4 linked regions of the Anolis sagrei genome follow. The protein of the gene in region 1 interacts with the protein of each later gene in a pairwise test. Links are inferred from orthologs where the notes say so. Each region holds a gene or a part of one and is shown in the gene's direction. Other genes may lie near its edges.

What was found.
Region 2: the proteins of EDA (region 1) and CYB561 interact in binary tests that used the Homo sapiens proteins (3 or more experiments, as listed by UniProt). The two-hybrid records come from large-scale screens. The link is inferred for Anolis sagrei from reciprocal best matches to the Homo sapiens genes EDA and CYB561.
Region 3: the proteins of EDA (region 1) and EMP3 interact in binary tests that used the Homo sapiens proteins (3 or more experiments, as listed by UniProt). The two-hybrid records come from large-scale screens. The link is inferred for Anolis sagrei from reciprocal best matches to the Homo sapiens genes EDA and EMP3.
Region 4: the proteins of EDA (region 1) and LEPROTL1 interact in binary tests that used the Homo sapiens proteins (3 or more experiments, as listed by UniProt). The two-hybrid records come from large-scale screens. The link is inferred for Anolis sagrei from reciprocal best matches to the Homo sapiens genes EDA and LEPROTL1.

Annotation. Positions count from the first base shown.
Region 1 is NC_090030.1:172,881-180,711, reverse strand, and holds the start of EDA (ectodysplasin-A), read left to right. Parts: upstream 1-4,556; 5' UTR 4,557-4,619; coding exon 4,620-4,949; intron 4,950-7,831. UniProt on the Homo sapiens protein: Cytokine which is involved in epithelial-mesenchymal signaling during morphogenesis of ectodermal organs. Functions as a ligand activating the DEATH-domain containing receptors EDAR and EDA2R. May also play a role in cell adhesion.
Region 2 is NC_090021.1:345,162,336-345,170,315, reverse strand, and holds the start of CYB561 (transmembrane ascorbate-dependent reductase CYB561), read left to right. Parts: upstream 1-4,738; 5' UTR 4,739-4,904; intron 4,905-7,980. UniProt on the Homo sapiens protein: Transmembrane reductase that uses ascorbate as an electron donor in the cytoplasm and transfers electrons across membranes to reduce monodehydro-L-ascorbate radical in the lumen of secretory vesicles.
Region 3 is NC_090026.1:19,343,696-19,352,000, reverse strand, and holds the start of EMP3 (epithelial membrane protein 3), read left to right. Parts: upstream 1-5,095; 5' UTR 5,096-5,165; coding exon 5,166-5,208; intron 5,209-8,305. UniProt on the Homo sapiens protein: Probably involved in cell proliferation and cell-cell interactions.
Region 4 is NC_090022.1:195,308,844-195,317,109, reverse strand, and holds the start of LEPROTL1 (leptin receptor overlapping transcript-like 1), read left to right. Parts: upstream 1-4,547; 5' UTR 4,548-4,639; coding exon 4,640-4,655; intron 4,656-6,945; coding exon 6,946-7,021; intron 7,022-8,266. Other genes in the region: SARAF (store-operated calcium entry-associated regulatory factor), read right to left, coding at 651-729. UniProt on the Homo sapiens protein: Negatively regulates growth hormone (GH) receptor cell surface expression in liver. May play a role in liver resistance to GH during periods of reduced nutrient availability.

The DNA of each region.
Region 1 (7,831 bases):
TAGAACCAAGCAAAATACATAAAATGCAAAATCAAAACAATATATGACGCAAACAATATAAAATCAAGAATTAAGGAAAATTTCACAAGGCAGGGCCAGATTCACGGATACAATTTTTAATTTTTTTAAAAAAACATTGGGAGATAGGACATTGTAAATTATATGGAGGAGGCTCCGGGAATGAGGAAGGATTTCATTGCACAAACCAAAAATAAAGTGCTTCTAAGGACATTTTGTGCAAAATGTGGTCAGGGAGAATCTTACATTATCTTAAATGTAATCGTACTTACATTTAAGTGCAGGCCAAGGTCTTGAGGCACTGCACCCAGTGTGCCCATCACCTCCGGGACCCCTGAAGTCGATAGGAACTTCAGGAGGGTCTGCCCCAGGAGGAGAGACCCTGTGGCCTCACCAAAGAGGGATCACTACATTGGTGAGCAAAGAGAAGCCTGATTTTAAGCAATTTTTATTTCCCTAGGTTCCCAAACAGAATCTCACCAAGGTTGAAGAAGCACCACCGAGATGTTTATTAGTGATTCAGCTGAAAAGGATGCAAAGCCGCGATCATTCGTCAAGCAGAGCATGTGGTTACAGAAATAAATGCCATTTTTATAGAAAATACAGAGTTGTGAGTTTCAAAATTCCCGATGGTGATTGGCTGGCGCGCTAACAGCTTGGCCGTTCTCTGTGCGCCTGGGCCAATCATAGGGCTTCCGCGGTGCGCCTGAGCCAATCAGGAGGCTCCCCCACCTCGACACTCCAGTGAATCAGAAGGGAGGGAGGCGAGACAAAGAGATACAATGCATTCTTGAGTGGATTATGGAGTTTAATAACCTGGAGGCTTAACGAGTCTGGAACCTGCCTGCCAGAAAAACCAACTTTATTGTCTTGAGATGGGTCTGCAATAAGCATTGATCACTTAATCCGGCTTTTCCGCTTGCGATCAGATAGAGCACAAAGGGGAAGACTTTGGTGAATGTCTTTAGTGGAGAGATTTGAAAGAAAAACGGGTTGGGAGGGAAAGGGCTTTACGAAGGTCATCTTTCCCCCATTATTATATGATTAAAAAGTCTGCCAAGCGGAAATCCTCTTGATGGCCCTACTCCGAAGTCAAGAAAGATATTCCTTTGTTATTGTCCACGCAAGAAATGTCCTAAGATAAGGGTACTTTCATGATCGCTAATTGCTTTTCAGAGACAGGGCAACTTCCCTCAAGGAAAGGGGAAAGGGGGTAAAAGGGTCAGGGCAAGGTCAGATACATGAAGGGAAATATAGAAATCTAGTAATCTTGATGAAAAATCATATCCAGGCATCCCCCCCCCCCCCAAACAGAGCAATTTTAATCACAGCACAGTTTGAGTTCATAGTTCATTTTGGAAAAATTCATGGGTGAAAAAGGTTTTTTTTTTAAATGAAGTCCAAAAGTATATGACAGAAAGTCCAAGTCACAAAAAGGAGTCTGGTGACTTCCACTGAGCCAAAAGATGGAGTCCTGCAGTGCTGAGGTCGAAGCTGGTCCTTGGTCCTTGGAAAACTATAGCTCCTTCCAAGGGCTGAAGCCTGATGATGAGGCTTGGATTTTGACTGTTCTCCTTTTAAAAAATATTCTTGATAAACCAAAGGTTATTCCCTGAGCCTAGGGGCCCAAAATGCAAAAAAGCGAGATGGCAGATAGGGTTAGAATTTAGCTAGGAAAGATATGGCATCAAAATGGAGTCGATCCGTCAACTTGCGGATATGGGGCCCCGAAGGGTTTCTGTATCCGCGGTTTGAAGGAAAGCAGATTCAGCCTCCCTGGGACGCCAGGAAGGCATCCCAGGCAGGCCTGCGGTCTCCCGCAGCCCAGAAAAGGTTGTTTCATGCATTTATTTATTTATTTGCTTTATTTCTATACCACATTTTTCAGCCCAGTCAGGCGACTCAATGCGGTTTACACAATACAGGTTATCAAACAATGTCATAGGCAATTAAAACACATCATATACAACAAACAAAATCAACAACAACTATCAAATCATGTCATAACGCCTCAATGAAATCAGATCCGTTCTCATAATCCTTGTGCCATTCCTATGTTCAATTTTACCGTCTTTCTGTGTTCAGTTGCACTGTTTAGCCAAACGCTTGCTCATAAAGCCAAGTCTTAACCTTCCTCCGAAACGCCAACAACGAAGGGGCCTGTCTGATGTCTACAGGTAAGGCATTCCATAGCTGAGGGGCCACCACCGAGAAGGCCCTGTCCCTCGTCCCCACCAGACGCGCCTGTGACGCAGGCGGGACCGAGAGCAGGGCCTCCCTGGACGATCTTAATGTCCAAGTCAGTTTGAACCAGGAAAGGGACACAAAGTATCATTCTGGAGAGGTTAGGGTTACAATTCATTTAATCTTTATTGAGGGATTTGTTACCTAGTTTGGGCTGGGAAAAGGAGTGAGAGGAAAGAGCACAGGGCGGCAAAGAGTCCCCGGTTGAGGCTGCTCTTGCGGGGGCACCAGTTTCATCAGTTTCAGCCCAACTGGGCATCCAGGAACTGTGGAACCCCCTGCGGCTGGTCAGATCAGCTTGAAGGCAGGGGTCAGGGATGCCCTCGACGACACCCCCACGATTGGCTTTGCAGCTCGATCTTTCAATCCTCGCATCGTGTCAGCTTTTCCAGTTGCTTCTCGTTGATCGCCTGGGATTGGCAAATCCATGACCCAGGCACACTTGGTTTTTCCCCACAGTTGTGAGGTCAGGAGTCGTGTGCTCACTCAGCCTGAATCCGGAAGTCCCAGAGTGGTCTGACGTGTTCGTTTCCTGTGACTCTAGGCAGGCTGGCGATCCCACCCGGATCTTTGTGGCACCAGTTCCAATGTATTGTCAAAGGCTTTCATGGCCGGAATCACTGAGGGGTTGTGGTAGGTTTTTCCGGGCTAGATGGCCATGTTCTGGAGGCAACTTTTCTCCTGACGTTTCGCCTGCATCTGTGGCAAGCATCCTCAGACCTCACTACCTCTGAGGGTGCTTGCCATAGATGCAGGCGAAACGTCAGGAGAAAAACTGCCTCCAGAACGTGGCCATCTAGCCCGGAAAAACCTACCACAACCCACAAGTTCCCATGTTGAGATGTTGTTGATGCCTCTCCCATAGCAGGCCCCCTCCCTGCCTGCCCTTCCCCTCGGCGCCCGCCAGGTGGCGCCCTCGCCTCGCCTTCCTTAGAGGAGCGGCTCCGCCCCCTTTTGTCTCGAGAGGGCGGGGCCAGGCCTCGTGACCTCGCCGGAAGGGCTTCCAGGCGGGGGGGGGGCGAGGGGGGCCGGGGGGGGCAGGAGATTAGGAAATCCGCCGGAGGGCCCCCCCTCCCCAAAGGCCGCCCAGCTCGGAAAACAGACCATGGGATCGGAGATATCCTCTATTCCATTATTATTATTATTATTAGATGAATAATTAATAGTCCTTGTCATACTCCTCATTTACTCCCAGTGTGGGTCTCTATGGCTGTTCTCTCTCCCTCCTGGGGGGCTCCCAATGGCATGCCTGCCCTGCCTTCCTGGCTCACCCACGGGGTCGCCCTCCCCTCCCCCCGTCAGCACCTTGGCCAGCTCCTTCCTGAGACTGCCTTCCGCACATCTCCCGGGAAGGAAGGCGGGACTTCCGGGCAGCCAGCCCTCTTGGGCTGCGAAGGGGGCGGGGCGAGCGAGCAGGGAGAAGCCCCGCCTCCCCCTGGGGGGGCCTTGAGAGGAGGCGGAGCCAGCGAGGGGGCGGGTTTCCCCTTGGCCCGCCCCCTAAGGGTCTCTCTGCGGGCTCCTTCCCGAAGCCGCGCCCTCTTGTCTTGGCCCCGCCCCCTAAGGGGCTCTCTCCGTGCTGCGAGGGGGCGGGGCCTGAGAAGGGGGCGGCCCTCTCTCCCTTGGCCCCGCCCCCTGAGGGGCTCTCCCTACTGGCTCCTTCCCGAAGCCACGCCTTCCCTCCAGAAGCCCCGCCTCCTCCTCCTGGCTTGGCCCCTCCCCCTGGGGGGCGTTGAGAGGAGACGGAGCCGAGGGCGGGGAAAGCCAGCGAGGGGGCGGCCCTCCCTCCCTCCCTCCCTTGGCCCCGCCCCCTGAGGGGTCTCCCGGCTGAAGCCCCGCCCTCCGCTCCTGGCCTGGCGCCGCCCCCTGAGGGTCTCTCTCCGTGCTGCGAGGGGGCGGGGCCTGAGAAGGGGGCGGCCCTCTCTCCCTTGGCCCCGCCCCTGAGGGTCTCCCTGCTGAAGCCCCGCCCTCCGCCCGTGCTCCTGTCTTGGCCCCGCCCCCTGAAGGGGTCTCTCCTAGCGGCAAGGGGGCGGGGCCTGCGAAGGGGGCGGCCCTCCCTCCCTCCCTCCCTTGGCCCCGCCCCCTGAGGGTCTCCCTGTTTCCGGAGCCTGCCTGCCTGCCTGCCTGCGAGGGGGGCGTGGCCTGGAGCGGGGAGAGCGCGAGTCGGCGCTCCCTCCCTCCTTCTCTCCGCTTGGCCCCGCCCCCTCCCGGGCTCCGCCCCCTGGGGCTTCCTCCTGGCGCGGGCGGCTTCCAGGCCAGAAGGCAGGCGGGCGGGCGGGCGAGCAGGCGGGCAGGAAGGAAGGAAGGAAGGCAGGCAGGCAGGCAGGCAGGCAGGAGGATGCGGGCGTCGTAGCGCCGCCATGGGCTCGGAGCCGCCTCTCCCCCCCGCTCCCGCTGCTCCGGCTCTGGCGTGCTCGGCGTGGGTGTGGCGGGCGCTGGGGGCGTTCCTGGCGCTCTCGCTCTCGCTGCACCTCCTCACCCTCGGATGCTACCTCGAACTCCGCTCAGAGATCCTGCGCCGCCGGGACACCCCCCCAGGGGGCGCACACACGCAACACCAGCACCACCAGCACCACGCCCAGCTCCCCACACCAGCAACAGCAGCAGCAGGAGGGGCCGGGGGCGGGGCCCAGGCAGGGCCGCCACGCCCCCCGCAAGGCACGCCCCCCGCCCACCACCACCAGCGGCAGGTAAGGGGGGCGGGGGGGGACGTGACCCATCTGGGCTTGCACCTGTTACTAAGGGGCATCCTGTCTGTGTTAACATAGAAGAAGAAGAAGGGGGAGCTGCCATGGGATATCATGAATAGGATTAGCATAGAATAATAATAATAATAATAATAATAATAATAATAATAATGGGAGGGGGATCTACCATGACATCTAATGAATCTTATTAATATATAATAATAATAATAATAATAATAATAATGATGGGAAGGGGAGCTACCATAACATATGATGAATCATATTAATATATAATAATAATGGTGATGATGATGGGGAGGGGGACTACGATGACATATGATAAATCATATTCATCTTAATATACAATAACAATAATAATAATAATGGGAGGGGGGAGCTGCCATGACATGATGGATCATATTAATATATAATAAGAATAACAATCATAATTCATATTAATATGTAATAATAATAATGGGAGGGGGAGCTGCCATGAGATATCACGGCCAGGTATAACTATGTGAGGGGAATACGTCCTAGGGAGGAGGAGGGAGCAAGCTTCCTTTCTGCTTCCTTTCCTTGGAGACTAGGACGCAATGGAGCAAAGGCTCCAAACTACAAGAGAGGAGATTCCACCTGAACCTGAGGAAGAACTTCCTGACTGGGAGAGCCGTTCAGCAGTGGAACTCTCTGCCGTGGAGTGTGGTGGAGGCTCTTTCCTTCTTTGGAAGCTTTTAAGCAGAGGCTGGATGGCCATCTGTCAGGGGTGCTTTGAATGCAATATTCCTGCTTCTTGGCAGAAGGAGGTTGGACTGGAGGATGGCCCACCAGGTCTCTTCCAACTCTAGGATTCAATGAATTATATTAATATATAATAATTAGCTATATAAAGAAACATGATGATGATGATGGGAGGGGGGATCTGCCATGACATAGAATGGAGCATATTAATCCATAAAAATACAGTATAACAGTAGTAATAATAATAATAATAATAATAGTAATAATGGTGGAAGCTCCTTCCTTAGTCGCCATTGTTTTTATTATTATTACTATTATATTTGTTATTCATTCATATGATTCATCCTGTGCCATGGCAGAAGATTCCAGTAAATATGGTATTGAGGGTTTATTATTTATATATTATTTATTCATTCATTCATTCTTTATTTATTTATTTATTTCCCACCCCTCCTTTTGGCTCGAAGCAGGGCACAACATGCATTATTAATACTATTATTATTATCATTGTTATTCCTTACCCACCTCTCTTTTTGTCTCAAGGTCCCCAATGACATGTACTGTTATTATTATTTTCATTATTGTTATTATTGTCATTCCTTACCGGCCTCTCTCTTTTTGGCCCGAGGCTGGGCACAGCGCAGTTTACATGCATTCCATAAAAGCACCTCGGAGGGCATGCGCCGTGGGTGCCGTAGGGGCCGGAGGGATGTGTCCCGTGGGCCCGGCCCTATTTTTTATTTATTTATTTGGGGTTCTTTTACCCCGCCCTTCTCACCCCGAAGGGGACTCAGGGCGGCTTACAAAAGCAAGGCACAATTTGATGCCTGCATCATAAAAACAATCAAACACAAAATTACATCAATACACAGTTAACACCAAATATACATTATAACCATAAAATCAATAAAACCAAATACAAACCCAGTTTGTCCTCTTACATGGTCAGCGTTTGCTACTCATAGATCTAGTTTTCCGTTCCACTTCATCAATCCTGCTGGTCTTACTCGCCTGGTTGTCTGATTTAATTGCCGGAGTGCCCAAAGGCCTGGTCCCATAACCACGTCTTCACCCTTCTCCTGAAGGCGAGGAGGGATGATGATGCCCTGATTTCCCCTGGGAGTGAGTTCCACAGGTGAGGGGCTACCACTGAGAAAGCCCTGCTCCTCGTCCCCACCAGCCTCACTTGTGACAGTGGTGGGGTCGAGAGCAGGACCTCCCCAGATGATCGCAGACTCCAGGGTGGGACGTAGAGGGAGATATGTTCGGACAGATACACTGGACCAGAACCGTACAGGGTTTTGTAGGTCAAAACCAGCACCTTGAATTGTGCTCGGAACTGAATCGGCAGCCAGTGGAGCTGGCACAGCAGAGGGGTGGTATGCTCCCTGTATGTCGCTCCAGTGAGCAATCTGGCTGCCGCTCGCTGGACTAGTTGAAGTTTCTGAACAATCTTCAAGGGCAACCCCACGTAGAGCGCATTGCAGTAGTCTATTCAGGATGTAACAAGAGCGTGGACCACCGTGGCCAGATCAGACTTCCCAAGGTACGGGCGCAACTGGTGCACAAGTTTTAATTGCGCAAAAGCTCTCCCGGCCACCGCTGAGACCTGGGTTTCCAGGCTCAGTGATGAGTCCAGGATCACTCCCAAGCTGCGAACCTGCGTTTTCAGGGGGAGTGGAACCCCGTCCAGCACAGGCTGTAACCCTATGCCCTGTTCGGCCTTACGACTGACCAGGAGGACTTTTCCAAAGGGCTGTGCAAGGAGATGGCTGCCCTTCAGGCCTTCCTTCATGGGCCGTTGGGTCAGTTCCCTGGGGCCCAAGCCCCCCTTCAGGCCTGGTCAAGCACACAGAATGATGGTGGCCTCGTCCTTGGCCATGCCTCTGCCCATGCGTTTGAGTTTGGGAACACACTCCCATTCCACGGTGGCTCTGTTTACTTTCCCTTTGGGATTTCTGGGCTCACGTGCAGGAGGTGGGCCTGTTCTGCAACCGGCTGGGGGGGATTGGCCACTTGGGGTGTCCGTTCTGTTTCCTTCAATCCTCTTGCAGAGCACTCGTGTTTATGTCCACCAAAATAAGAACTGCTTTGGCTGAAAGGCGCTGCCACATTTCCTTCCTTCCTTCCTTCCTTCCTTCCTT
Region 2 (7,980 bases), on another chromosome or scaffold:
TATAATGTGCACAATTTGTGTGGTGTATGAACTGTGTGTACTATGCGTGTGGTATGTGTTCTGTGCGATGTTCGTATTCTGTGTGTTGCATATGATATGAAATGGGTGATATGAAATGGGCATGTTCATAGAATCCTAGAATCAAAGAGTTGGAAGAGACCTCATGGGCCATCCAGTCCAACCCCATTCCGCCAAGAAGCAGGAATATAGCATGTTGTGTGACATGTGTGTGGTGTGTGATGTGTGATGTGTGTGGTTTGCCTGGTGTATGAGGCGTGTATATTATGTATGACCTGATGTGTGTGTTCTGTGTGATGAAGTGTTCTGTGTGATGTGTGTGGTGTGTCAGATGTGGGGAGGGGAGAAGGAAGGGGAGGGGAGGGAGGGAGGGGGAGGGAGGGGGAGGGGAGGGGAGGGGAGGGAGGGAGGGAGGGAGGGGGAGGGGGGAGGGGAAAGGATGGGAGGGGGGGGGATTGAACAGTCAGACTTTTGCCACAACTGAACACACATCTCAAGTCTTTGGGATTTCAAACTGGTGGGAAGAATTAAAAAGCAGAAGAAAAGAGGACGGTTCAGCCTGTCTTCCTTCAACCATGGCCTTCTACTCTCATCTCAAGATGTTTTGGGCTCAGTTCTGTTCACGACTGGTCAATGCTGTGATGTCCTGTTGAGTTCCAATCTAGCCAGAAGTGGATCCAACATCCAGACGGTTGAGGAGAGGAACATTGGGCATTGGGCAACCCATCAGGAAGAAGAAGAAGAAGGCCAAACGCCGCCTTGGCGTAGTCGTGGTTCTCTTGCTTTCCTCGGATTCCACCTGGCTCTCACTCCTGGTGCTGTTGTCTCCTGTTGTCTCCGCAAATTCACCTTTCTCTCCAAGTCTTTGGCACAGAGGATGTTTCCGACTGGGCTTGATCCGGCTGAAACCCTGGCTGAGATCTCTGCCGTATCCCAACACTTGTGAGGCTTTTCACCTGAGGAGAATGAGAAGAAGGACATCCCATGACACAAGGCAGCTTCACCAGCTTGGTGAAGGACCCAATTTTGGGCCCAGATCTAAAATATGAGGATGCCTGTTGCCCCCCACCTGGCTCCCTTCCCAGATCAGAAGTCCAGCAGGGAAGAGGAGTGGAGACCCCATGCCGGGAAGCCAGCCAGACCAGTTCAAACTGCTTTAATGAACCAGAGAAGGAAATGCAAAGACTACCCAAGACTTCTAGAACAAACTTTGTCCTGTGCTGCCTTGGACTCACCTGAGGAGGAGGAACGGGGCAACCCAAGAGCTCTGGTGTCAGTTGGAAGCCACTTGCAGCATCCTTCTTGCATCGTTGGCAACCAAACAGGCCTGGGTCTTTCTCAGCCATACGTGTGAGCATTTCTTCATGAGACAGATCTTCATGGTACCACTTATCCAGACATACTTGTCCCATGGGGGGCGGGGTGGGTGTTGATGTGCCTGGAGCTTTGCCTGAAAGCTTGGCCTCACCCTTGGTGTGTCTTGTGGGGCTTGTAGTCCAAGCTGTGCTCCTGCAGAAAGAAAGAAAGAAAGAAAGAAAGAAAGAAAGAAAGAAAGAAAGGAAGGAAGGAAGGAAGGAAGGAAGGAAGGGCTTGAGTCCACGGCACAAGGCGTCTGGTTCCCAAAGAGCAGTCCTGCTGCTGACACGAGGGTTTCACCCTTTGCGCCACTGGCTGGGGGCTCCGTCTCACAGAGTCATTCTATGGGACTTCTTCTGAGCAGTGTGGGTTGCATCGATTAGCATGATCGCCTTAGAGTTCTGTTCCTGGCTGTCATTTAGTTTTGCATATAGAAAAACATTTTTGTCTCTTCCTCTTCCTTGGTAGAGTCTTTATTCTGCTTGCTTGCATGTTTGTATTTCTGTTCTTTTAAATAACAATTAATGTAAAAGATGCCACATGTTTCCACTTTACTAAAATATACAGCACTAAAAACTTTGGGAAAGGTTCCTTCTTTCCCCAATCGCGGGTCAATTAACCAGGAACGGATCAGAAACGTCACAAAGGAAATTTCATATTTCCAATGTGGCCACAGTGGGACATCATCATCCTTTGTGTCACCACCACCACCATTTCTTGGGGGCCATGGAGCTCTGCGCGACTGCCTGTCTGTCACCAATCGAGTCTGCTAATGTCAGAATGAGACTCCCATGCCATAGGGAAGAAGGAGCATCCCCAGACTTGGCCTAAATGGGGCAAAATAGCATTCAACCGGGAAAACCTAGAATACTCACCAAAAATACATGTGCATAGCAGATGAACTCTGTGTTGAATTCAAGGTACATCTGGGTCTTCTATGTAGTGTAGTCAAGCCGCATATAACCACATCTGTAACAGATCCAAAGAAACAACTGGACAGGAGTTGGCTGCCTGGCAAGTGGCCAGCCTCTCTCCCTCCCAGCTGCCACCTCTGCTCAGACCTGAAGGTCATCCCCATAGTGACCTCATCATCATCATCATCATTCATGGCATCAGAGTGTTTGTGATCAGCTGAGGCTGCCTCCATGTCAACAACAGTTTAGGCAACCCTTGCCACCAGGCCCCATCTGCAATACTATAGGATATCGTTGAACTGCTTTGAACTGCATTCTGTGAAGCTACGTATGGCAGAATGCATGATGGCGCCTCGGGTGTTCTTTATTGGAAGTTACATAATTGGTGTAGAAGAGTTTAACAGGAAGCACTCTCTCACTAATCCAAAAGGGTCGGTTACGCACATATTGTGAACAGATAATTGGTAATATTGGAAAATACATATTATTATTTTTTTACATTTCAGTTGGAAGATGAGCAAGTGAAAGACTGTATGATAAAATGGGATGTTTATCGACCAGAAGTTGATGGCAAAAGTGACTAGGAGAGTGATATTGGAATCCTAGGATAACAGAGTTGGAAGAGACCACATAGATCATCATTAACTGACCCAAATAGTGCTTTTTCTGTGACTTTTGTGAGTGTTGACTATAAAAGTGTAGCTCAGAACTGTCACAGTTAGTTTCTCATCACAATATTAATACATGGTAAGAAATAGTTTATGTTCCCCCCTCCCCCATATAAAACTATGCTATAAAAGTGCCAATATATGGGAGATGATTTCCCAGCCACAGAGAACAGATATGACAATACAATGTATTTGGATCTCCAGTATGTTTTTTTGGTATATGCAAGGTCTACATCAGTGGTTCTCAACCTGCATGTCCCTATTATTATTATTATTATTATTATCATTATTATTATTATTATTATTATTATACTTTATTTGTACCCTGCTAGCATCTCCCGAAGGACTCGATGCGGCTTACAAAGGCCAAGGCCTCAATACAGAACACAACAATACACTTAAAGGAAATTAAAACTAAAAGGAAATTAAAACAATATTAAAACAACGAAACCACAGGCAATAAGCAGTACATCAAACAAGATAGAACTAGGCCGGGCCAGAGTAAAGGGTACAGGATTAAAAAGTGCTGATGTGACAGGTGATATGTAAGGGTTATAGAGCAAGTGCAGTGTGCAGTGTGCGGCAATCTTATTCTAATAAAGTGCTCATGGGACTTGGGATAGGAGATTTCCTATTCTGGGAAGGCACGTCGGAACAGCCAGGTCTTCAAATTCTTTCTGAAGACTGCCAATGTAGGAGCCTGTCTCAGATCTTTGGGGAGAGTGTTCCAGAGAGGGGGGGGCACCACGGAAAAGGCCCTGTCTCGTGTCCCCACCAAGCGTGCTTGCGACGCAGGCGGGATCACAAGCAGGGCCTCTCCAGATGAGCATAGTGAACGCGTGGGTTTCTAGACTGAGATGCGGTCACGCAGGTAGACTGGTCCCAAACCGTTCAGGGCTTTGTAGGTGAGCACCCATCAGGCCCGTAGCCAGGATTTCGTTTCGGGGGGGGGGGGGGGCTGAATTTTTTTCAGGAGGGGTTTCGGGGGGGGGGGGGCTGAATTTTTTTCAAGAGGGGTTTCGGGGGGGCTGAGTTTTGGGGGGGGGCTGAGTTTCGGGGGGGGGGGGCTGAGTCTGAGTGAAAGAGGGTCTAGCCTAGCAAACCTTTTGTATCATTACCCCAATTATACCCCCATGCATGTGGGATATATTGAGCATGGTGATCAGATCCTGATATGAATAAACATAACAGTTTAAATAATGCACCAGTCAGGCCTTTTCACGAACCACCATGAGAATTTCGGGGGGGGGGGATGGCTGAAGCCCCCCCCCCCCCCCCTGGCTACATGCCTGGACGCAATGGAGCCATGGCTTCAAACTCCAAGAGAGGAGATTCCACCTGTACTTGAGGAAGAACTTCCTGACCGTGAGACCGTTCAGCAGTGGAACTCTCTGCCCCTGAGGGAGTGTGGTGGAGGCTCCTTCTTTGGAGGCTTTTAAGCAGAGGCTGGATGGCCATCTGTCAGGGGTGATTTGACTGCAATATTCCTGCTTCTTGGCAGAATGGGGTTGGACTGGATGATGGCCCAGGAGGTCTCTTCCCACTCTTCTAGGATTCTATGATAAGGTGGGGCCCCGCCCGCTCCTGCCCCTTGGGCCCCTCCCGCCACCCCGGAGCCGCCCTCCCATTGGCCGGACCCTGGCCTTACCTGCGCCTCACCTCCATTGGGTGCCGGGCGCTCTTCTGCTTTGATTGATAGCCAAGGGAGGCGGGCGGGCGGGCGAGGGGGGGGGGGGGCGGGGCAGCAGGGCGGGGTCCCAGGTGCCAAAGACGTCCCCGCCTCCTCCTCCTCCTCCTGGTCTGCTGCGAGGGAGGGGAAAGGCAGGAGAGGCGGAGGAGGAAGAAGAGGAGGAGGAAGGAGGAGGAGGAGAGCAACGTGTCCTCCGCCGCCGCCCTTCTTCTCCTTCTCCTTCTTCTCGGGGCTGCTCTCCTCCGAGGCCGGGCTCAGGTAGGGAAAGGGAAGGGAAGGGGAAGGAGGGGGGGGGGGGGCTGAAGGCACGAAGGCAGCCCCCCGGGCCCCAAGAGGAGGAGGAGGAGGAGGAGGAAGAAGAGAAGAAGACGGGCCCTCCCTCCCTCCCTGCTGGGCCCCGTGCCCTCTTTCCCTCCCCCTCCCCCCTTCTCTCTGGCCTGGAGGGGTGCGGGGGGCCCCGAGCCCGGCTGCTCCCCTCCCTTGGCCACTTCCCTCCTCCTCCTCCTCCGGGACCCCCCCGACCCATGCCTCCCCCCCTCACGGCGCCCCCAGGAAGAGGAGCCACCTGTTCTGACACAGGTTTGGGAGAGAGAGAGGGGGGGGGTGGGGCTGCCTGTCCGCCCATGCAGGGAGTGGGTGTGTGTGTGTGTGGGGGGGGGGGGGGGGTACACGGATGGCCCGGACCCCGTGGCAGGAAGAACAAGGGGCTGCGAAGGGGCTTCTCCCCTCCCTCCCCCCCCCCGAATGTTCCTGGCAGGGAAGAGGTGGGAGGGGGGCGTGGGGCAGGCCGGGCCATCCCTCCGGCCAGGACCGTAGCCAGGATTTTGATTCGAGGGGGGGGGGTGAGTTTGATTGGGGGCGGGGGTGCTGAGCCTGAGTGAAAGTGGGAGGGGGGCGTGGGGCAGGCCGGGCCATCCCTCCGGCCAGGACCGTAGCCAGGATTTTGATTCGGGGGGGGGGGGTGAGTTTGATTGGGGGCGGGGGTGCTGAGCCTGAGTGAAAGAGGGTCTACCCTAGCCAACCTTTTGCATCCGTACCCCAATAATACCCCCTCCATGCATATGGGATATATTGAGCATGGTGATCAGATCATGATATGAATAAACACAACAGTTTAAATAATGCACCAGTCAGGCCTTCTCGCGGACCACCATCAGAATTTGGGGGGGGGGGGGTGCCTGAAGCCCCCCCCCCCGAGCCCCCTCCCCCCTGGCTACATTCCTGGCCTCGGAAGGACCCTCAAGGCCAGCCAGGCCAGACCCTTCTTTCCTTTTCCAGCCAGGAAAAGCACAATTGAAGCCCTCCTGACAGATGGCCACCCAGCCCCTGTTTCAAGGCCTCCGAGGAAGGCGCCGCTGCCAGACTCCGAGGCGGAAACCTTGACTCCTCACAGCCAGGGAGTCCTTCCTGGGAGTGTCTAGACAGAACCCTCTTTCCTGGGATTGGAACCCGGGGCTCCATTCAGGCCCAGCCTCCAAGGCAGGAGAAAGGAAGCCGGCTCCCTCTCCCTGGTGCCAGGCATTCCTTCTGCGGCAAGTGAGGGGGCCTGTTGGGGGGGGGGGCTCCCTTCTGCCCCAGGCAGGCCTCCTTCCCTTGCCCCACGACCAGGGAGGGGGGGCCCTGGCAGGAGGGGCCGGGGACAACATCTGAAAAACCACCCAGGTGTGCCATCTGTCAGGGGGATTTGAAGGCGACTGTCCTGCTTCTTGGCAGAATGGGGGGGGGGGGACTGGACGATGGCCCACCAGGTCTCTCCCAGCTCCAGGACTCTAGGATTCCAAGAAAGGAGATTCCACCTGAGCATGAGGAAGAACTTTCTGAGCATGAGGGAACTTTGAAACAGAGGCTGGATGGCCATCTGTTGGGGGTGATTTGAACGCAATGTTGGCAGAAGAGGGTCGGACTGGATGATGGCCCAGGAGGTCTCTTCCAACTCTAGGATTCTAGGATTCTATGACTGTGGGAGTTGTTCAGCAGTGGAACTCTCTGCCCCGGAGGGAGTGTGGTGGAGGCTCCTTCTTTGGAAGCTTTTAAGCAGAGGCTGGATGGCCATCTGTCAGGGGTGATTTGAATGCAATATTCCTGCTTCTAGGCAGAAGGGGGTTGGACTGGATGATGGCCCAGGAGGTCTCTTCCAACTCTTGGATTCTAGGATTCTATGACTGTGTTGTTGGGCAGATGCAACCTCACACACCTTCCTGTTTTGTGCCATGCTGTAACGTGACCTCCTCAAATTCCAAAGTTTATTGCACCTGATTTAAATATGCATGTAAGCTAATGAGTTATCCACCATCTCTGAAGGTGTTTGTGTCACGTTGCGTCTTTGGAAGGGTATATAAAGGGGGGGTGTATCCCTTTGTCCCCCCCCCCCCCCCATTTGCTCTTTTTGCTCTATTTTGCTCTGTTTTGCTACTTTTGGGATGTACCTGTTTGGAGGAGAGAGGCCTGCTTCCCATCTTTAAGGCCCAACTCTGAATGTAACCCAAAGATCTGTTACTGTATGACTTTACATCATGCAAGATGTTCTTAGTAAGCAAATTGTTTTATCTTTAACTCTGTGTCTGAATAGTTATTTTGCATGCGTATTTCCTAAAGTGAGAAAGTGGTCCACCCGGCCATCGGGTGCACGAGCAGAGCCGGCGCTCAATTGTTCTCCGCGTTCGATCCCTTCCCCATGACCGGCTCCCTTTCCTGATCCCCCGGCGCTCCACCCGCTTCCTCTCCCCAATCCACAGGTGGGCCAAGGGGCGGAGCCGGCATGCCTGGCTCACTTCGGGTCCAGAGGTGTGTCTGAAGACCCCAGCGTGCGCACCAAAAGTCGCCTCTTCTCCTGACTTTCTCTTCAGCCATTGAGACCAAGAGAGAGAGAGAGAGAGAGAGAGAGAGAGAGAGAGCCCCTCCGGCTGGAGGTATCTCCCACCTCCGCTCCCTCCTTTGTTTTTGCGCCTACCTTCAGGAAAGGTGGGCATCTCCACCTCTCTCTCTCTCTCTCTCTCGGTCCCAATGGCTGAGGAGAAAGTCAGGAGAAGAGGTGACTTTTGGTGCACACGCCGGGGTCTTCAGGCACGCCTCCGGACCCAAAGCGGGCCAGGCAAGGGAGCAAGTGCGGCAAGTGTAGTTACTGGGATGTATAGTTCACCTACAATCAAAGAGCATTCTGAACTCCACCAAGGATGGAATTGGACCAAATATGGCACACAGAACTCCCACGACAAACAGAAAATATATATCAATGATTGGTTGGGGGGGGGGCAAAATACTGTTTGCTTACCGTTGAAAATTACCTAGGGCCGCCTCTGGATACACCCCCCTTTATATACCCTTCCAAACATGT
Region 3 (8,305 bases), on another chromosome or scaffold:
GTGTGGCCTCAGATAAACCAGTTCAAAACAGATATTGTGGGATTTTCTGCCTTGATATTCTGAGATACAGGGCTGTGTGGAAGGACCTTGAGTCTACATTGCCATATAATCCAGTTCTAAGCAGATATATAAACTCCATTTTCCTAGTTTCCAACAAACCTCACAACCTCTGAGGATGCCTGCCATAGATGCAGGCGAAACATCAGGAGGGAATGCTTCTGGAAACATGGCCATACAGCCTGGAAAACTAACAACAACCCAGATAATGTTGATTTTATACAGTTGTGCAGAAGGAACCTGAGCCATGGCAGTTCAAGTGGTTCCAAACTGTATTAATTCTACAGGGCGGATGCAGCCTTGGCCATTCTTGGTTATTATTTGTTGGTGATTTAGAGCTATGATAATGCATCAAAGGCATTTCTGTTCCATTCTAGGGTTTTTTTTTCTTTCTCAAGGGAACTGACTCTCGGGCTGGATCTACACTGCAATGTTATCCTGGTTATCAGAGCAGATAATCCACATCTGCTTTGAACTGGATTAGATGACTCTACACTGCCATATAATCCAAACTGGATAACCAGGTGTAGATCCAGCCTCATTGGATGCATCTACACCACGCATGGGCAAACTTTGGCCCTCCAGCTGTTTTGGACTTCAACACCCACAATTTCTAACAGCTGGTATTTGGATTTAAAGTCCAAAACACCTGGAGGGCCGAAGTTTGCCCATGCCTAATCTACACTGTAGAATGAATGCAGTTTGATACCACTTTTAACTGCCATGGTTTGATTGGGGCATTGTAGTTTTATTTAGCTTACTTTGCCAAATATACTGGTGCGTCACCAAACTATGACTCCAAGGCTTCTATAGCACTGAGTCATGGCAGTTCAAGTGGGATCAAATTGCATTCATTCTACATTGTAGATCAGTGGTTCTCAGCCTGGGGTCCCCAGAAGTTTTTGGCCTTCAACTCCCAGAAATCCTAACAGCTGATAAACTGGCTGGGATTTCTGGGAGTTGTAGGCCAAAAATATCTGGGAACCCCAGGTTGAGAACCTCTGGTGTAGATACACCCTTCATTTCCACCCTTTTTCGTCAGGGCAAAGATTATGTGAGGGAATTAGGGAAAGACCCTTAATGTAATCTACAAAGTGCCCCTCCCTTGGTTTTGGCCCAAACTGTGACCTCAACCCCAGAGGGTTTTCAAAGCAGAAGTTGGGGCGGGGTTTTGCAGAAAAGGAAGGAGATCCTCACTCCCACATCCGTGGTTTTTAGTCAGAAGTGTGAGAAGGTGTTAAAGCGAGGTCAAACTGCATTCATTCAATATTGTAGATGCAGTCGTAATGGAAATCTTAATGTCAGGAATCTCTTAATGATCTTTAAATGTCAACAGTGCATTGAAGAAACAGAGAGAGACCTTATAGGGCAGTGTTTCTCAAGCTTCCTAATGCCGCAACCCCTTATTGCATACAGTTCCTCATGTTGTGGTGACCCCCAACCATAAAATTATTTTTGTTGCTACTTCATAACTATAATTTTGCTACTGTTATGAATTGTCATGTAAATATCTGATATGCAGGATGTATTTTCATTCACTGGAACAAATTTGGCACAAATACCCGATACGCCCAAATTTGAGGGTTGGGGGGGGGGGTATAGATTTTGTCATTTGGGAGTTGTAGTTGCTGGGATTTATATTTAACCTACAATTAAAGAACATTCGGAACTCCACCAACGATGGAATTGTTGGAATTGGCACACAGAACTCCCATGACCAACAGATAATATTGGAAGGGTTTGGTGGGCATTGACTCTGAGTTTTGGAGTTGTAGTTCACCTACATCCAGAGAGTACAGTGAACTCAAACAATGATAGATCTGGACCAAACTTGGCACTAATACTCAATATGCCCAAATGTGAACACTGGTGGAGTTTGGGAAAATAGACCTTGACATTTGGGAGTTATGGTTGCTGGGATTTATAATTCATCTACAATCAAAGAGCATTCTGAACCCCACCAAACTTCCCATACAGCAGTCGTTCTCAACCTGTGGGACCCCAGGTGTTTTGGCCTACAACTCCCAGAAATCCCACCCAATTTACCAGCTCTTAAGATTTCTGGGAGTTGAAAGCCAAAACATCTGGGGACCTACAGGTTGAGAACCACTGCCATACAGAATCCCCATGACCAACAGAAAATACTGTGTTTTCTGGTGGTCTTTGGCGACCCCTCTGAGACCCCCTTGCAGGCCCCCAGGGATCCGGAGCCCCAGGTTGAGAAAAGCTGCCTTTTAGGGAGATATGTTTCTCTCTTGCTGAGTCTCTTTTAATCTTCCCTCTGTAAATATCCTGAAGGCACCAGATCTTGGAAGATAAGCAGATTCATCCCAGATTAGTACTTGGACAGCAGACCACCTACCAGTATCTGATTCTGTAGGCTATATTTCAAAGGTGGGAAATGGCAAAACCACCTCTGAGTATTCCTTGTCTTCACTAAACCTCACTAAAATCATGGAGCCACCATAAACTGACAAGCAACTTAAAGGCACACGCACACCAGATGTACTGTATTCCCTTTTGCTTTCATTTTTCTGCTTCTTCAGTTGATTAAACTCAATCTAGATATTTTAGGGCGTTTACGAGGATTCAGACAGACTTCTTGGAACAGCCTGTGCTCAAATTGAAAAGGAAGAAAAACAAAGAAGTTGCTGGCTAAATTTTGGGTTTTCTTCCCCCACTGGCAACACGTGGCATAAAGGAGAAACGAAAAGGCTTTAGATAAAAAAGCAAGTCTCTTGAAAGAAACTGTGTTCCTAACAGGAGGTTTAAAGTGAAAATCATAATAAAAGATGTAAAGGAATCCAGTAGCATTTTGAGATAAAGGAAAAGACATTTCCAGCACAAGCATTCTTCGGCTCCTGTGTTGGATGAAGTGGACTGAAGCCCAGAAAAGCTTTATTTTCGTAGTCTTAAGAGGATTTTTTTTTACAGTACCTTCCCCACCCCCAAACAAAACAATCTTTTGTGTTATTTTAATAAGAATTTGCACTTCGTTAAAAGGTACGCTAAGGCTGCTGTGATATGTACATGGATTCAAAAGTGAAGGTCCATTGAATATAGGAGGCCCAACCCAGTGATTCATTCCAACTAGAGGGAATCATTTAAATGTATTGTCGAAGGCTCTCATGGCCGGAATCACTGGATTTCTGTGAGTTTTCCGGGCTGTATGGCCATGTTCCGGAAGCATTCTCTCCTGATGTTTCGTCCACATCTATAACAGGCATCCTCAGAGGTTGTGAGGAGGTCTATGGGGAAACTAGGTAAGTGGGGTTTATCCATCTGTGGAGGGGAATGTTCAGGGTGGGAGAAAGAACTCTCTGTTGGAGGCAAGTGTGAATGTTGCAATTGGCCACCTTGATTAGCCTTGAATAGCCTTGCAGCTTCAAAGCCAGGCTGCTTCCTGCATGGGGGAATCCTTTGTTAGGAGGTATTAGCTGGCCCTGATTGTTTTCTGTTTGGAATTCTACTGTCTACTGTTCTACTTTTAGAAATTTTGTAATACTAGCAGCCAGATTGAGGGCCCACTGGTGGCGGAGTGGGTTAAACCACTGAGCTGCTGAACTTGCTGACCAAAAGGTTGGCAGTTCAAATCTGGGGAATGGGGTGAGCTCCCGCTACTAGGCCCAGCTTTTGCCAACCTAGCAGTTTGAAAACATGCAAATGTGAGTAGATCAATAGGTACTGCACCGGTGGGAAGGTAACCATGCTCCATGCAGTCATGCTGGCCACATGACCTTGGAGTGTCTATGACGTCAGCTCTTCGGCTTAGAAATGGAGATGAGCACCACATCCCAGAGTTGGACGTGACTAGACTTAATTTCAGGGGAAACCTTTACTTTTACCTTTAGCCAGATTTTGTTCATTTTCATGAGAAGACAAGAGTTCTTTCTCCCACCCTGGACATTCCACAGATATATAAACCATGCTTGCCTAGTTGCCAACAGACCTCACAACCTCTGAGGATACCAGCCATAGATGTGGGAGAAACATCAAGAGAAAATGCTTCTGGAACATGACCATACAGTCTGGAAAACTCACAGCAACCCATCAATGCTTAAGTAATCAATGCTTAAGCAAATCAAGTAACTATTGTCTATTATGGATGGAGATTGTGGGAAAATTCCTTTCCGGATTTCAATTCCCAGAATTCTGTAACTGATATGGATTCTGGGGAAAATCCATGCTGACTGAGAAAAATAGTCCAGAAAAAGGAATTTTGCCACACTGGTCATGTACTGAAGGATTTGGGGAGGAAGCTGGAAGAGAGAGATCCCTATAAATTGGGCACTAAGGGAGACTCCAGACTCCTATTTCGGCACCATAGGTGCATATAGACTGTAGAATGAATGTGGTTCGACGCCACTTGAGCTGCCATGAGCAAATGCTATGAGATCCTGGGAGTTGTAGTTTGGAAAGGCGCCAGCACTCTTTACCTAAATCCTGTGTCAAACAACAACTCCCAGGATTCCATAGCATTGAGCTGGTGGCAGTTCAAGTGGTGTCAAGCTACAGTCATTTTCCAGTGTAGACCAGGCATGGGCAAACTTGGGCCCTCCAGGTGCTTTGGACTCCAACTCCCACAATTCCTAACAGCCTCAGGCCCCTTTCTTTCCCCCCTCAGCCGCTTAAGCGCTTAAGCGGCTGAGGGGAAAAAGGAAAGGGCCTGAGGCTGTTAGGAATTGTGGGAGTTGGGGTCCAAAACACCTGGAGGGCCCAAGTTTGCCCATGCCTGGTCTAGATGCACTCATAGACTAATCCCACTCTGAAAGGATTAATGGCTGTCTGCCTTCAGTGCCTGGATGGCTTGTCCTTGAGAAAGGATGATTTAACACACACACACACTTCTAAAAGTAGTGGAGTATTGTTCAGGACAGGAGCAAACTCGAAATCCAGCATTGAGACAGTAAACTGGAACTACTGTAGTGTTTGGGAGGTGATTGGAAGGTGACAGCCATGGGGAGGAGCAGGTGGGTGGGCTAGAAATACATGTAAATTTCCACCTTTCCCATTTGTAAGTTCCTGGATCAGTTTCCAGCCCACCCACTGCTGAGTGAGTGTGTTTAGGATTGTGCTGCAATCCAACCCAGCAGACTTCCTGAGGAAACATGCATGGCCTTTTAATTCTATGGGATTCCTCACTAACTTTGAGTAAGTCATTCAGTAAACATTTTCAAAACTTTATTTTGTGCATGTATTTTCTGTGTTTTTACTGAATTTATCGAATTATCTCTGGTTTAATCTAGCTCAAATTTTTGTCTCTTGTGTTTTCATTACCAACTTGGCTCTATCAGCATAGTATATGTGTATGTTAACTTATGGTGATCCCATTAATTTCATAAGGTTGTAGGATAAAAATCCTTGAGATTCACATTTGTCCTCCAGATCTCTCACATATCAAGTAAAATTCTTCCCACTGTTTAAACCATCTCTTGTTGGTTGGAATGGGAAACTTGGAATGGGCAAACTTGGATCCTCGGAGTGTTTTGGACTTCAACTCCCACAATTTCTGACAACCTCAGGCCCTTTCTTTTTCCCCCTCAGCTGTTAGGAATTGTGGGAGCTGAAGTCCAAAATACGCTGAGGGCCCAAGTTTGCCCATGCTTGGTCTACCTCAGTGGTTCTCAACTTTCCCAATGCCGCGACCCCTTAATACAGTTCCTCATGTTGTGTTGACCCCCAACCATAACATCATTTTCATTGCTACTTCATAATTGTAATATCGCTACTGTTATTAATCATAATGTAAATGTCCGATATGCAGGATTTTTCATTCATTGGACCTAATTTGGCACAAATACCCAATACACCCAAATTTGAATACTGGTGGTGTTCAGGGGAGATTATTTTTGTCATTTGGGAGTTGTAGTTGCTAGGATTTATAGTTCACCTACAATCAAAGAGCATTCTGAACTCCACCAGCAATGGAATTGAACCAAACTTGGAACACAGAACTCTCATGACCAACACAAAATACTGGAAGAGTTTGGTGGGCAGTGACCTTGAGTTTTAGAGTTGTAGTTCACCTACATCCAGAGAGCACTGTGGACTCAAACAATGATGGATCTGGACCAAACTTGGCAAGAATATGCAATATGTCCAAATGTGAACACTGGTGGAGTTTGGGGAAAATAGAGCTTGACATTTGGGAGTTGTAGTTGCTGGGATTTATAGTTCACCTACAATCAAATTACATTCTGAACCCCACCAATGAGAGAATTGGGCCAAGCTTCCCACACAGAACCCCCAAAACCAACATAAAATACTGTGTTTTCTGATGATCTTTGGTGACTCCTCTGACACCCCCTTGTAACCCCCCCCCCCCGGGGTCCCAACCATCAGGTTCAGAAATGCTGGTCTAACTGGTGAATTTTGTGTCTGTCTTCAAGTTGCCTGCTGACATGGTAACCCCATGACTTTCACAGGGTTTTCTTAGGCAAGGAATACTCAGAGGTGGTTTTTTGCCAGTTCCACTCTATGACATACACCCTACAGCACTTAGTATTGGTTGGTGGTCTCTTGTCTAAGTATTAACCAGGGCTGACTCTGTTTAGTGTCCAAGATCAGACAAGATCTGGTGCCATTAAGGTAGTGTATTATTTACACAAGCTTGTTAAATGCCAACATCATCCTAAAATTTAATTAACTTGGGGCAATCTGACCAGGAATGTTTTTCAACCTGGAAAGCATCATTTGCAAAAGCATATTATACTAAACAGTAAGTGCAATAGAATTATTTGTGAAAAACAAGATCAGACATACTGTGGTTCAGATAGCGGGGGTGCTCCAAATGTTGTTGGACTGCTGCTTTCATTGGCCCTTCCCAGCATAGCCAGTGATGAAAAGGATGTTAACAGACCAAAACCATCTGGAGGGGGCTATCTCTTTCATTTTCAGTGTACTGTACATCTGGAATGGGCATCCCAACTAGAGGAAATAATTTAAAATGTGCTGTGAAGTTTTCTGGGCTGTATGGCCATGTCCCAGAAGTATTCTCTCCTGATGTTTTGCCCACATCTATGGCAGGCCGCCTCAAGAGGTTGTGAGGTCTATGGGAAACTAGGCAAGTGGGGTTTACGTATCTATGGTATGTCCGGGGTGGGAGAAAGAACTCTTGTCTTCTTGGCCACCTTGATTAGCCTTGCAACTTTAAAGTCTGGCTGCTTCCTGCCTAGAGGAAAGTAGTTCTTAAGCTGGGGTCCCCAGATGTTTTTGGCCTACAACTCCCAGAAATCCCAGCCAGTTTGCCAGCTGTTAGGATTTCTGGGAATTGAAGGCCAAAAAATCTGTGGACCCCAGGTTGAGAACCACTGTAGAAGGTGTTAGCTGACCCTGTTGTTCCCTGTCTGGAATTCCCCCCATTTTCTAAGTTTTGTTCTTTATTTACTGTCCTACTTTTAGAGTTTTTTAAAATACTGGTAGCCAGATTTTGTTCATTTTCATGACAGGACAAGAGTTCTTTCTCCCACCCTGCACATTCACAGATATATAAACCCCACTTGCCTAATTTCCAAAAGACCTCACAACCTGCCATAGATGTGGGTGAAACATCAGGAGAGAATGCTTCTGAAACTTTGCCCATGCCTGGTGTACATATTTAGGAAGAGTGCGTCCACACATGCACATGCAAACATAATTTTGCAGCACTGAAAAGGAAGCAGAAAAGAATGAAACAGCAATGTGGTAGATTATAAGATCCTAAAAGGCTGCCTTGATATATCCTCAAGTGTTCTTTAGTTTAAAATCATCCTGGCACATCTTGTTAATTATTCTCCTCCATTTTATTCTGATCCTAAAATTAAAGATTTCTCTCTGTTCCTTTCCCCCCTCTCTCCCCCTTTTTGTATGCGAAAGTAAACAAGGATAGCGAATTCCTTATTTTCCAGGGCTACCAGCATCCTTGAGTCAGAGATAAGAAGTCTGTGAAGTTTGTAGTTTATGTGATAATAGTAGATTGCGGGCTAAAGGATTAACTTGGAGAGGAATGTGTGCCCTCCTACTGTCCCAATGTGGGGGACAACCCACGTGTTAGCTACTTCCAAAATGTCCTTGGTTTTGCTTTACTCCTTTCTGCTTTTCAGTTTACTTCAATTAGTGTAAACAATAGTTTGCACTTGCATTAATTCAACAGGGGAGAGTTTTGCCCTTCCTAGTAAATTCAGACACAAGCAAATTGTTGCAGCCTCCCCTAGTTTTTGTGTTTTCCCCCTAATTAATAACTCAAGACTACGTTCTAATGTTGTTTGAC
Region 4 (8,266 bases), on another chromosome or scaffold:
TCCTTCGCTCAGCCTTCCCTAAGGTCCAGCTCTCACATCCGTAGGTTACTACAGGGAATACCATGGCTTTGACTATGTGGATCTTTGTTGCCAGTGTGATATAAGGCATACCTGCACATATTTTTGTTGCCGCTAGTTAAGTCTTGCCTATAATTATTAATGCCTATGCCTTCCAGCATGGCGTGGCAGTCTGAGGGCCCTTCCACACAGCCCTATATCCCAGAATATCAAGGCAGAAAATCCCACAATATCTGCTTTGAACTGGGTTGTCCGAGTCCACACTCAGATAATGTGGGATTTCCTGCCTTGATATTCTGGGATATAGGGCTGTGTGGAAGGGTTCCGAGTCCACACGGCCATATATCCCAGTTCAAAGCAGATGTGGGATTTTATTCAGCTGCGTGGAAGGGGCATTAAAAACATTTAAACACAATTAAAATCAGCAAATATAATAAAAGCGCTGTTGCCGTTGTGTGCCTTCGCGTCGCTTCCGCCTGAGGGGGAAGCCTGCCTTTGCTGACTTCCTCCTAGGCTGAGAGAGTGGCTGAGGGAGCCAGGCCTCCGCTGCTCAGCCGCGCCTTGGCAACCGGGCTCCCACAGCCCAGCGGCAGAGAGAAGGAGCTCCTCGACCACCGGAGCGCTTCCCTTACCCGGCTGCGCCCAGGCCCGAACCAGGCCGGCTCCCGTCAGCACCACCAACAGCGGCAGCGCCAGCCCCCGCGACCTCATCTCTGCTCCTTCACCAGCGAGTGGAGCTCGGCTCAGCCTTGGCCCTGTGGCGCATCCGCTCCGGCTCGCGAGGCCTCTGATTGGCCGCCCGCAGTTCTAGTCCCACCTCCCGAAGGGGCCGGGCGCCGCCATCTTAGCGCTGGCTATGTCGTTGTGTTTGGTTTTGACGCCCGCCTTCCGCGCAAGCCCAGCCAATGAGAAGAGGCGTTCTTTTCGTCTAGGTATTTTGGACTTCAGTTCCCAGAATCCCTGGTCTTTGGCTCACGTAGCTGAGGTTTCTGGGAGTTGAAGTCCTAAACGCCTAGACGCTTAGCATCACTTAGTGGTCTAAGACAATGGGAATGTGAGAGATTTTTCTGTCCCAACATTTCTATTGGTTTGTTGTGTCCTTGCCTGTCATTGGCTCCGCCTGTGACCTACAGCCAATAGGATTGCGCTGAGTGTAATAGGGACCATATGGTGATTCACTGTTACTAAGCAAACTCCTGTGGACGTCAGAAATATCCCGAGTTTTTGTTGGACCTTGTGGAGCGAGTCACAGTGCATTTGTATTCAGCTGTATGATGAAACATATTATTATATCTATGCAATAGTTTTGCAATATATGTATGATGCAGTATATTACTGCCTAGAGAGCCATTGTGGGGTTTTTTTGTCGTGTCAGGAGACTTGAGAAACTGCAAGTCACTTCTGGTGTGAGAGAATTGGCCGTCTGCAAGGACGTTGCCTAGGGGACGCCCGGATGTTCTGATGTTTTATCATCCTTGTGGGAGGCTTCTCTCATGTCCCCGCTTGAGGAGCTGGAGCTGGTAGAGGGAGCTCATTCGCCTCCCTGGATTCTAACCTGCGACCTGTCGGCCTTCAGTCCTGCCGGCACAGGGGTTTAACCCACTGGGCCACCAGGGGCTCCAACCATTGTGGTGTATTGCTTCAAGTATTGGGTTAGGACACTGGGTTCCTGTCTGCAGTTCCATTTAACCCAGTTTCTGAATCCAGATTTTTTTTCCCCAACTGAATTATATGTCATCAAAATGCGGATGAAACCATTGATCATATCCTCAGCTGTTGCAAGAAAATCAAACAGACTGACTACAAACAGAGGCACAACTCTGTGGCCCAGATGATTCACTGGAACTTATGTCACAAGTACCACCTACCAGCAGTAACGAATTGGTGGGATCATAAACCCGCAAAGGTAGTGGAAAACAAACACGCAAAAATACTGTGGGACTTTCAAATCCAGACTGACAAGGTTTTGGATCATAATACAGCAGACATCACGACTGTGGAAAAGAAAAAAGTCTGGATTATTGATGTCACCATACCGGGTGACAGTCGCATTGAGAAAAAACAACAGGAAAAACTCAAAACGTTATCAAGACCTCAAAATCGAACTGCAAAGGCTCTGGCATAAGCCAGTACCGGTGGTCCCAGTGGTCATCGGCGCCAAAAGATCTCAGCCGGCATTTGGAAACAATCAACACTGATAAAATCACTATCTGTCAACTGCAAAAGGCCACTTTACTTGGATCTGCATGCATCATTCAAAAATATATCACACAGTCCTAGCCGCTTGGGAAGTGTTCGGCTTGTGATTTTGTGATACGGAATCCAGGATAGAGATCTCGTTTACTGTGACATACTGTGGTTTTGCATCAGTAAAATAATATGTCATTATTATTATTATTATTATTATTATTATTAAACTTTCTTTATACCCCGCCACCATCTCCCCTCAGGAACTCGGGGCGGCTAACGTGAGGCCAAGCCCAACAAATACAATAAACAAATGAAATACATACAGCAAGATAATAGCTTGAATTAAATTAAAGTAAAAATTAAAATAATATACCACAATAAAAACAATAACCTAAAAACAATAAAGGCAAATTAACACAGTGGGATACAACATTGTAGACTTATGTAATCAAGTTCAAAGCAGATAATCTGGATTCAGAAACTGGATTACGTGGCAGTATAGATTTTATTCTGTATGTTTTATGTCTGTTTTGTGGAAACCGCTCTGAGTCCCCTAGGGGAGATAGAGCGGTATATAAATAAAGTTTTTTATTATTATTATATAAGACCCACAATAGTGAAGACATCCTATAATATTGCCATCTGCTACCAGGAGCCAACAGTTGAGTTAAGAAAGGATGATAATGTCATAGAAGCTGATATTCAAAGGAAAGAACACAGGCCAATTTAGAATTTAACCCCCACTGCCTTTTGTTTCCGAGTGGATTAGTGGTGACCATCCATATATGTGTACCCACTTCAAGACACCTATTGATTTATGGCAACCCTGAGCATTTTGTAGAGTTTTCTTAGACACTCAGAGGGTGTCTTTTCCATTTCCTTCCTCTGAAATATTGCCCACTGCACCTGGTATTCACCATAGACCATTAACATTATTTTTCCTGGCTAATTTATTTCCTGGCTAGATTATTTCTTATGGAAAGCTTAAGGTAAAAAATTAAAATGTTTATTTCCAGGAACTACCTAGCTCTGGTATTCTGTAGTTTGTCCCATGTCACTTAAAATCACAGTACTTTACAGATGGTCTACTCAACTAATGTCAGTAACCCTGAGGAAGGACCCTAAGGCTAGATCTACAACAGTGCCATAGAATCCAGTTTCCGAATCCAGATTATGTACTTTGAGCTAGATTACATGAGTCTACCCTGTCATATAATCCAGTTCAAAGCAGGTAATCTGGATTCAGAAACTGAATAATGCAGCAGTGTAGACGGGGCCTGAAAAATCAAGGTTCATATCCCCACTTAGCCATGGAAACCCATTAAGGCCCCATTATATACACTGTAATATAATCCAGTTCAAAGCCGATAATCTGGATTCAGAAATTGGGTAATGAGGCAGTGTAGTTAGGACCTGAAACATACAGGTTTCCATTCCCACTTAGTGAAGGAAACCCATAAAGGACCCATCTACACTGTCATACAATCCAGTTCAAAGCAGATAATCTGGATTCGGAATCTCGATAATGTGGCAGTGTAGACAGGGTTTGAAAGATCAAAGTTCACATCCCTACTTAGCTGTGGAAACCCATTAAGGCCCCATCAACACTGCCATATAATCCAGTTCCTGAATCCAGATTACCTGCTTTCAGCTGAATCATATGCAGTCTGAGTGATCATAGAATCATAGAGTTGGAAGCGACCTCATGGGCTATCCAGTCCAACCCCATTCTGCCAAGAAGCAGGAAAATCACATTCAAAGCACCCCCTACAGATGGCTATCCAGCCTCTGTTTAACAGCACCCAAAGAAGGAGCTTCCACCACACCCCGGGGCAGAGAGTTCCACTGCTGAACAGCTCCTACAGTCAGGAAGTTCTTCCTAATGTTCAGATGGAATCTCCTTTCTTGAAGTTTGAAGCCATTGTTCCATTGCGTCCTAGTCATCAGGGCAGACTAAAACAAGTTCGCTCCCTCCTCCCTATGACTTCCTCTCACATATTTATACATGGACCTCATCATGTCAGCCTTCTCTTCTTCAGGCTAAACATACCCACCTCTTTAAGTCACTCCTCATAGGGCTTGTTCTCCAGACCCTTGATCGTGAGGCAAGTCACACTCTCTCAACCTCAAAGGGAGGCAAAACCACGCTGAAAACAATCTTGCCAAGAAAACCTCACTGATAGGTTCACCTAAAGGGCACCATGAGCTTGAAAAGACCTTGAAAGCCTCAGGCAACCCACTTTTTCTCAGCCTTAACTGGAAGCCACAGATAAACTCTACATGAAGCGGAAGTTGTGTCCTGCGCATGCCTCTCTGCTCTTAGTAAACAGTGTTACGGCTTTAGAGCTCCTACTTCCGGGTCGGTCTAGCCTCCTTTCTCCCACTTGGTGGTAAAGTTGGGAGCGGCCTGTGCGACAATAATAGCAGCATCATGGCCGGCATCAAAGGTAGCTTCGCGGTGGCGGCATTGAGGGGAAGGAAGGGGAGGGAGCTAGCCGGGCAAGGCGGAAGGGGGCTCCCGGGGAATGAGGGAGGGCGCTGGGGCCCCCGGGCGATGACGCCCCTTACAACGTTTGGGGCCCCGCTTTGTTTCCATGGCAACGGAGGCCTTCTCGGGCGGGAGGAGGGACTGCTTAGCCAGGAAGGCCTTGTCCTCCCTTCAGTTGGGGCCATGTGAAGTGGGCAGTGTCTAGGCCCATTGGATTTAAACAGTTTCTGCGGTTCGAACTGAGCCTTCCTGTGCAGAGACATCCTATCAGGCCTCCAGCTGCGGCCCTCCAGCTGTTTGGGCCTTCAACTCCCAGAATTCCTGGCCATTGAACAAGCTGTCTGGGGCTTCTGGAAGTTGGAGGCCCAAATAGCTGGAGGGCCACAGTTGGAGGATGCTTGCATTACATCTCTGTTGAGGGGCACTCCTGTCAATGTGATGTGGGAAACCAATACCTCCCCCCCCCCCCCGCCATGTGATAGGAAAGCTGCTTTAAATGTGTACATTTTTGATATAACGACTTCTTTCAGTCATGGAAATTTGGCAGGATAGGCATCAGTCCAAGTACTAGCCCCACCACTGCAAAAGGATCCCATATATATAATGTAATGTAATATATTGTATATACATTTAATATTTATACTATTATAATGTAATTCAGTATAATGCTAATAATAAAAATATGTTATAATTATATATTTTATATTACATGTAATACGAGGGGTATTTTTTAAGTAAGGTCCGTTTTGTTGTAGACACTAGTAGTTCGCGCGCATACCGCAACGAGCGCGTGCGTCGTGTACCAGCATGCCTCGGGAACAACTGTGTTCAGTTTCCGCTCTGTAGCTAACCTGTACGGTTCTGTTCTGTGCTTTAAAAATGTTTCAGACTATCAACTCACCCTCCTCATGTGAGGTTCGCTCAGTGATATGATTTTTGTCAGCAAGGAACCTGCCTGCTGCAGAAATTCATCGACAGATTTGTGAAGTGTACGGTGATACTGTTATGAGTGAAAGCAAAGTGCATAAGTGGGTACAACAATTCAAAGATGGCAGTGACAACGTCCATGATGAGGACCGCTCCGGTCGCCCTTCTTTGATTACAGACGATTTGGTGGCTTCAATTGAAGCGAGGAATCGTGAGAACAGGCACTTCACAATAACAATAATAAAAATCTTTGAATTGTCGTACCCACTTACACACTTTGCTTTCACTCATAACAGGCACAACTACACTTAATGTCAAGGGGAAACCTTTACCATCTACATAAATAAAAATGTAATGTTCATTTGTGGGATTAACATAACTCAAAAAACACTGAGCGAATTGACACCAAATTTGGACACAAGACACCTGTCAGGCCAATGAGTGACCGTCACTCATAAAAACACTTGAAAACACAGCAGAAGGGACTTTATAAACTAAAAAAAATGCAAAAAGATGCTGCAGCACATGTGCAAAATCACATATATACACAAACACACATATATACACATACACACATATATACACATATACACAAATATACACACACACATACGCATATATACACACACAAAACACATATACACAGACTGAGCCACAGCAACACGTGGCAGGGAATGGCTAGTGTGTGTGTGTGTATTGGGTATATAGTAGCACAATCGCTGAATAGGTAATTGACAGCAATTATGTATTTACATTTTAAATATTGCTTTATTCACTTAATTTTTATTTTGTTTTATATCTCGCCCTCTATTCCTCATTGAGGGACTCAGAGCAGCTAACACTCGGCAATAATTTGATGTTGTTCAGTCATGATGTAATACTAAGTCAAAATACATAAAAATCAAAAACACAAAGATTAAACAACAATACACGATAAAAGACATTAAAACCAATTCCTTTAAAACCAGTTCCATCTCATTGACATTGTCGAAATCCATCCGTAAATATTTCAAAATATTTTTAAATATGTAAAGGGCTATAGAAGTGTATTAAATAATAGCTGTCCTGAAGTTACTTATTTATGAGCTTATCTAAAGGTGATGCTTGTGGACGGGGGTTTATACTTTTCTTTTAAAAATCTACTTCCTTCCACCAAACTGCATTCAGTGTTCTTATTTTTATTTCAAAGCGGTTTAACTGGAAGGTTCTAGTGAGAGAAATAGAAGCAGTACTTTCATCTCCTTTCGGTGTATCGTTCTTGTCTGCAGAGCAAAATGTTCAGAAATTTTGGAACACTGATACGATTTTGTTTCTCTTTATAGCTTTGATCAGCCTGTCCTTTGGGGGAGCTGTTGGACTAATGTTCCTGATGCTTGGCTGTGCACTTCCTCAGTATAAGTATGTATACTTTCATCTATATATGAGTTAGCTGTTGACTTAGTTTCCTTTCCATTTGTAATTCTTTGTTCTTTTCTATACCTAATTGTTTTGAATAAATAATCAAAAAGAACACTAGGAACCCTTAAAAGGCTAGAAGGCAAAGGAAAGCCATCCATGCCTGCTCTTGGTGAGACACACAGACTCCTTAGTTACTTGCTGAAATTGTTCTGCTTTATTGCTACTAAATTGCACTCTGCTCATTATAAATCTATATAGAATAATGTAGTGCTGGAGTAGCTCAGTATTGCATTCCTCTGTATATCTGAGAAATGAGACACAATAAAACTTGAGTGACATCAACAGAGCTTCAGTCAGCTTTATAATATTGTTTGAAGTCTATGAACAGTTTCATATTCCAATTAAATTAAAATACTTGGATGTACATGCATTTTAATCTCACTACCTTTAGTAAATTAATTGTAATACTATGAAGAAGTGTTGTTTAAGAAAACGCTGAGAGAAGACACGATAGCCATGTATAAATATATGAGGAAAAGTAATAGGGAGGGGAGGGAGCAGGCTTGTTTTCTGCTGCTCTGGAAACTGAGAAGCAGAACAATGGCTTCAAACAACAGGAAAGGAGATTCCACCAGAATATTAGGAAGAACTTCCTAACTGTGAGCTGTTCAGCAGTGGAACTCTCTTCTCTCGAGTCCGGTGGAGGTTCCTCCTTTGGAGGCTTTTAAACAGAGGCTGGATGGCCATCTGTCGGGGGTGCTTTGAATGTGATTTTCCTGCTTCTTGGCAGGGGGTTGGACTGGATGGCCCACAAAGACTTTTCCAACTAATGATTCTATGAAATGTGTTCTTGTTAAAGTGAAGATTCCACTGTCAATTAGTTATTTTTTAAAACTAGCATATTAGGTCTCATTGTCAAACCAGTCTGGGCTAAATAACCAAACTCTGCACTGAGGCCCCATCTATATTACCATATAATTCGGTTTTAGAATACAGATTAACTGCATTATATGGCAGTGTAGACTCATATAATCCAGTTCAGTGGAATCCGATCTGCATTCTATAAGTCTACACTTACCATTGTAATGCAGTTCAAACTGCATTATATGACAGTCTAGATGGAACATTAGTTTCTTTAAAAATGTTTTGTTTTAATGGGGCATTAGGAACTTTGATTAATCTTATTTTTTACCTTCAGAATCTAATTCCAACATAGTAATCCCATCTAGACTTCCAGAACGCTTT